Linked DNA regions of Tribolium castaneum. The protein of the gene in region 1 interacts with the protein of each later gene in a biochemical or structural test. Links are inferred from orthologs where the notes say so. Each region holds a gene or a part of one and is shown on either strand. Other genes may lie near its edges.

The links.
Region 2: the proteins of transcription elongation regulator 1 (region 1) and SF1 form a complex in vitro, tested with the Homo sapiens proteins (3 studies listed by BioGRID). The link is inferred for Tribolium castaneum from reciprocal best matches to the Homo sapiens genes TCERG1 and SF1.

Annotation. Positions count from the first base shown.
Region 1 is NC_087397.1:11,590,863-11,595,349, reverse strand, and holds the start of transcription elongation regulator 1, read right to left. Parts: upstream 2,876-4,487; 5' UTR 2,763-2,875; coding exon 2,614-2,762; intron 2,568-2,613; coding exon 2,177-2,567; intron 456-2,176; coding exon 215-455; intron 167-214; coding exon 1-166. UniProt on the Homo sapiens protein: Transcription factor that binds RNA polymerase II and inhibits the elongation of transcripts from target promoters. Regulates transcription elongation in a TATA box-dependent manner.
Region 2 is NC_087400.1:3,267,416-3,269,824, forward strand, and holds the end of SF1 (splicing factor 1), read left to right. Parts: intron 1-53; coding exon 54-206; intron 207-287; coding exon 288-400; intron 401-451; coding exon 452-618; intron 619-884; coding exon 885-1,043; intron 1,044-1,103; coding exon 1,104-1,718; 3' UTR 1,719-1,836; downstream 1,837-2,409. Other genes in the region: uncharacterized protein LOC659501, read right to left, coding at 1,971-2,163, 2,209-2,409. UniProt on the Homo sapiens protein: Necessary for the ATP-dependent first step of spliceosome assembly. Binds to the intron branch point sequence (BPS) 5'-UACUAAC-3' of the pre-mRNA. May act as transcription repressor.

The DNA.
Region 1 (4,487 bases):
GGCCATGTCCCTTGGAATCCTGGCGGTGGTAAGCCGAATGGAGGCGCTCCAAACTGACCTGGGGGACCCCCAAATGGGGGCATACCTGGCGGAGGACCCGCTAACATGTTTTGAGGCATTGCGTTCCCAGCTTGTTTGGCATCGCCTTTCGATTCCTCTGACTCAACTAAATTTCTCGTTAATTTTTTTGGGATAGAAATTGGATTAGAGGTACCTTCAGGTTTATTTGAAACGTTAGCCTGCGCTAACGCCGCCTGAGCTGCAGTTGACGTTCCTTGGGCTAAACCTGTGGTGGCCGCTTGTGCCATTGCTTCCACTTGATCCTGAGAGATTACTTTTACATTAGGACCTTCTGGCTTAGTCCAAGTGGTTTCTCTAGTACGAGCATTATAAAAATATGACTTGCCTTCTGAGGTTTTAGTCTCTACCCAAATTTCACTATTTGCATCTAACCCCTGCAAAAAACAATTACAATTGAATTCTTGTAGTCGAACTTCGATAAATAATAAATTATTATTTACAAAGTGGTAAAACATACGAAAGAGGAAAAATAATATCGAGGCTATAAAATTAAATAAAATAATTAATTTAGTCATTTTTCAGCACGGTGCAGCAAACTCACAAGAAAAAAACTAAATATGTAACTCAAAAATGTATTTGAAAGTGTGAAAAAATAACTCAATTTTTGGTTCCATTTAGTGCTTATTCGGCTTGCGAAGTAATTCCGCTTATAGCTAAAAAAAGATAAAACGCTCCAAAAGGCAAAAATAATGTAATTTGGCGATTTTTCTGTATGTATTAATGACATCTCGCAAAAAAACGGTGAGATTTTGATTCAAATACCAGCTTAAAGGTCTTAAAAGTTTGGAAAGGTAAAATTTTTTCTACTTTGGTTTCACAAATTATTCATTGTGAAACTGAAAGTATCATGTGTTCATTATTAAGAAAACTCTCCGAATGGCCTGATATTTCCTACTACACGAGTTCACCAAAATTCATAACATCATAACCTATGAGTGATAAATAGTGTTCAAAGGCCATGTGTTACGTGTGTTAAACAACAAAAAAAAACATTTCCAAAAGTTTTTATAAATAATAAATAAATATCTTTATGAAAATCTGTTATCTTTTTAACTGCCAAAAAGTAAAGTTATAAAAGAACGAATTAATCACAAACATTTGTAATCAATTGTTTTTTATTTTCAAAGCACTTCTTAAATGAACGCTTGTTAGTTTTACAAAGAGAACTTTTGTACAACTCCTTTTAGTAAATTTGTAGTTATATTGACAGTTCTGCGCTGGGTGTCATCAGTCATCACTGTAATTTAGTGTGATCTATCAACAACGTCAAGCCGTTTATTGAAAAAGAACAATTAACAAAATTAAGAGAAAATAGTTTGAACAGATTTTGATAAGTTAAACTAAACAGAAACAAACAAAAATAGAAAATAGTATATTACACTCGTTTTATAAGACTTAATTGTGACACTCATTCTATTGGAGCACTGCTTCGTCGTGCTCCAAAACCATTCGTGCCGCAATAGAACGTCTTATAAAACTCGTATAATAATATATTGTTTCAATCCTATTTTACCTTTTTTTTTTTTGGTTTGTTCATAAACGTGTTAATCGAGTAATACAAGTCAAAATAATGTCAGTTTGGATTTGAAATGTTGATCAGCCAATTTTTCGAAAAAAATATGTATCGAAGTGACAAACAAACGTGCTTCAGCACACGGAAAAAGCAAAAATTATGTTATTTTTACATAAAGATGAACTACGGATAATCAGGATATTCCGAAGAATCAAATCTCCGATCGTCCGATGAACTCTCGATGGGTTAAACTACGAAATAAATTATATTCTACTTTATTTTTGGTGACATGTTTTCCGCAAAATTTAATGTTATATCAGGTCTATTTTAAGAAAGTGTTTATCTTTATTGAAAATGTTTGGAAAAGTCTAGTTTAATTCTTTATTTGATTAAGATTTAGTAATAATTCGATATTTCCCGGGAATACCTAGACTTTAAATCAAGAAAAACAAAGTGTAGGCAATAGAAACCCTACGTGAAATTCTTATCTGTATTTATTATTTGATAACTCGAACAGATAAACTTGAAAAATTCGAATTCCAAAAAGATGGTAATTCGCAAAATCTCGTCGAAAAAACTTACTGTTGTGGGATTTTGCCCTACTGGTGGAAACTGCCCATTGGTCGTCCCGCCCTGAGCGCCCATGGGTCCACCCGGGGGCGCCCCCATCATGCCCGGTGGTCCGAACGGCGGTCCATTGGGTCCCATCATATTGGGCGGTCCACCCATCGTCCCCGGGGGCCCCATCGGTCCTCCCCAGTTAGGCCCATTAAAATTCGGAGGTCCATTGAATCCCTGCCCTGGTGGTGGGTTTCTGGGAGGTCCCCCACGTCCAAACATCGGAGGAGGTGGTCCTCCACGTCCACGAAACGGAGGAGGGCCACCGGGCCCAAATCCCCTTCCTCGAAACCGGGGACCTTCTCCACGCGGTCCTGGCGGACCTGGAGGACCCGGCCACGCGCGTCCGCGGCCCCTGTAATCACACCGTTAGGAAGTGTGGCGGTTTAAAACTTGAATACCTGAACCCTGAAGGTCCTCGGCCTCGCATTTGGAAGTCATCTCCGAGTTCAATGTCGTTTTCGAAGCCTCCGTCCTCTTCGTATTCCTCTTGGGCGACGCCGTCGACGTCGGCGCCGTCGTATTCCATGGAGACGTCTGTTTCTTCCATTGTGTTTTATTTAATTTCAATCGATTTAGCCATTTAGAGTCAATTAAGATTTATTTTTCGGAAAATGGCGTCAACAAATGCACTTCTTCGGTTTATGACGTTAATGCGCATGCGCGTTTTTTGTTTGTTGATTCCCAGATACCAACCACAAGCGACAAATTTTCCCCAAAAGTCGCGCGAAATTAGGTTTGAATTTTTTGGATGATTTCTACATAAATTTTCTTTTAAAAACAATAATTAAAACAACAAATTTTAAAACATAACACTGCCCACCGACTGTTCCGCATAATTTATTTAAACGCCTTAAAAAAATAAAACATTTTCGCCAACAAAGAAATACCACAAATGATCATTTCATACAGGCTGATTCTTTAAATTTTCAAATAGTAACCACCTATTTTTATTGCATTTTTGAATTAGTAAAATATACCCTAGTTGTTAGTATTAGCTGTTTCAAAACTATAAACGCCAACGTCGCATTTTTTACCGAATTATTTTTTTAAATGAGATTGATAAAATTGTAAAATAGTAAAACAGTAAAATAAAATTATTAGATCTCTTATTGAAACTATAAATTACATTATCTATCAATTTTTTGAAGTGCATAAATAATTTAAAAAATGATTATAAAACAGTCTTCTACAGCGTGCTCAAAAACTGACGCACCAACTCAATGGTGTGTGGCAGAGAAGTGGTTACATATAAAGGTAAAAATAGTAAAAAAATTCTTTGTATTAAAGTTATTGATAAATAACTAATTTTAGGTAAATGATATGTGGCAACGTTGTCTAATAGTCATGATCGCAATAGAATTTGAGCAACAATAAAAATAAATTATTTTTGAAACGGTTTCCTAGGAAATAATTCCCAGTATTGGCACATCTACACATTGTGATTTTTTGGATGAATTTTAGTTTTTTTAAATTTAAAAAACTGCTAAAATCTGATAGTAAATTTTAAAATAATTGTTCATCGTTTTGTTACGGAACGATTACCTGGTATGAAACATAATAATATAAAAAAATAATGAAAACTAAAGAAGTTAACACAATAGGTTTGTAGCTTCAGATTTTTTAAAATACGACTTTAGGAATTTTTTCAACATTTTTCCCGTAATCTGCACTTGCTTCTCAATAACGTACCACTGAGTTGGTGCGCCAGTTTTTGAGCACCCTGTATATCTATCTCTTACAGATTTTGGAATAATCGCAAGAAATTGAATTTTACCTAATTATTTTCATTTTTAATCAACTAAACTTTCGAAAAATATGATAAAATTGTGCTATTAATTAAAAAAAAATTCTATTTGATCACCGTTTTCATTCAAGAAGTTCAAAATTCGATGGCAGACTGAATGAGTTACTTTACATAAATTATGATAATAAACCATAATTAAATATTAATATTTTACTGCTTATTAGATAATTAATAAATCAGTCAAAAAATTAAATAAAATGTTCAAGTTGACAATTGTTGACGAATTTGCAAGGTCTACTTGATTACTATAAAAATTACGAAGTAAAATCCGTTTCTTGTGAGTTTTTTCAAAAACTGTAAGAGATAATAAGTATAGAATGTATTGATAAAAGTCACCATAAATATTGATGTTCTTTCGATTGCCGTTAAGAAAATAGGGTCGTTCCATTTAAAAAGTGCGTTATAGCAGTATTTTGAAAACCATTTTGAAAAAAACATACTAGCCATAAATTTAAACAGTTGACAATT
Region 2 (2,409 bases), on another chromosome or scaffold:
GCGAAGCCGAGTACTTCTCTCTCATTAATTCATTTTTTCATCTATGTGTGCAGATCACCATCACCTGAACCGATCTACAGCAGCGATGGCAAACGTCTAAACACGCGCGAATTTCGCACCAGAAAAAAACTGGAGGAAGAAAGACATTCGCTCATTTTGAAAATGCAACAGATCAACCCAGATTTCAAACCGCCTATGGATTACAAGTAATTTTTTTTTATTTAATAATTGACACATTTTTTGACCCTTTGTTTAATTTTTTCCTTTAATTGAATTATTTGTTACAGTTGTAGACCCCCTGTGGTTCGTGTAAGTGATAAAGTTATGATACCGCAAGAGGAACATCCTGAGATTAATTTTGTAGGTTTGTTGATTGGTCCAAGGGGGAATACGTTAAAAAGTTAGTATTATTTTATCATTTTTTTGCAATTTTTTATTGATTTTTTCGCAGCAATGGAGAAAGAAACTGGGGCTAAAATTATTATCAGGGGTAAGGGAAGTGTCAAAGAGGGTAAAGTTGGACGAAAAGACGGACAACCACTTCCCGGTGAGGATGAACCCTTGCATGCCTACATCACGGCCACGAATCCTGAATGCGTCAAGAAGGCCGTGGAACGGGTGAGTTTGACATTTGTTGCCATAGTAACTTCAGTTGTCATAGTAACGAAAGTTATTGTCATAGTAACGCCAGTTATTGCCATAGTAACGTCAGTTATTGCCATGGTAACGCCAGTTATTGTCATAGTAACGCCAGTTATTGCCATAGTAACGCCAGTTATTGTCATAGTAACGCCAGTTATTGCCATAGTAACGCCAGTTATTGCCATAGCAACGCCTGTTTATTGGCATGGTAACGTAACTTGTTTTTTTTTCTCTTATGACAGATCAAGGAGGTTATACGTCAGGGAGTGGAAGTCCCCGAAAACCAAAACGACCTTCGCCGAATGCAATTGCGTGAGTTGGCACAACTGAACGGCACATTGCGCGAAAATGACGGAATGCGTTGTAACAACTGTGGCGCCACTGACCACAAATCTTGGCTGGTAATACCAACCTAAACCTTGCAAAAAAAACACCAAATTATTATTATTATTTTTTTTTAGTGCCCCGATAAACCAAACGTCACCAACAACATTGTCTGTTCGAGTTGTGGGGCTGCCGGCCATATCGCACGCGACTGTCGTCAGAAGCGTCCCGGCGCCGGGGGCCCCCCTGTCCCCGGCGGCGAAAAGAACAAAATCGACGAGGAGTACATGTCGTTGATGGCGGAGTTGGGTGAGGCGCCGCCCCCGGAGGCGGTCGCTACCACCACCACCACGACGACGACGCGTAAATCGAGTTTTAATTTGTTTGATTCGCCGATGACGCCACGCCCATTGATGCCGCCTCCGATGCCGACGCCTACTGCGCTTCAGTGTATGAATGGTATGGCGCCGCCTCCGTGGACGGTAGCGGCACAGAATATGAGTTGGCAGCCGGGACCGCCGGGCATTATGCCGCCGCCACCGCCGCCAGGAGCCTCCAGTCCGCCACAGATGATGCAATGGATGGGGGCGAATAATCAGCCGCCGCCGCCTGGGGCAAGTACGACGAATGGGACTATGCCGTGGCAAGCGGCGGCGTTCACGTGGCCGCCGGGGAGTTGTCCGCCACCGCCGCCACCAGGGATTGATGTTAATAGCTTGTTGACGACGCCGCCGCCACCGCCGCCGTCGTAAGAGATATGAAGATTGCACGTGGTATTTACCGTAGGGTAGTTAAATAATTATGGGATTTCATTATTGTATTTAATATTGGTATCAATTATTAATTCTTCAATATAATGTGTATTATGGATTTTGTTTTCTTTCCTAATATCACTGCCCTTCCAAAAAACATCGATTATTATTAAGAAAGTGCGTAAAAATTTATAAGGTAAGTAAGAGACCACATAATTTCTATGAATATATATTTTTTTTATTTAAAAATTATTACAATTCTTCCTTGGTACTACCAAAATTTTCACTATCCATTAACCCCAGAGAATTCCAAAAATCCCTAGCCCCGCTAAGGTCACCACACGTTTTGACCTTTATTTCCCCATCTTCAAGACCTCCAATATCAAGGTATGTCAACTGGTCTCCTTGAGTTGGCCTCCAATCGGCCCCTTTTATGACCGGAGTCCTAAAATTTTCTATAATTTTTTTCCCTCAGAAAATTTGGTAGTACCCTGTTTTGGCATAAGTGACCAACATGTCCAACATAACGTCCTTCATTTTCAATTCGTTCTCAGTCAAAGGTCTTGGTACGAAAACACTGCCAAAAAAGTACTTGGCATCGTCACCATGACCTACAACTTTGAGTTGGTTGAAGTCTCCAAAATAGGTAAAAAAGTAATAATAGACTGGCGATTTGGCGGTTTTGGCCTGA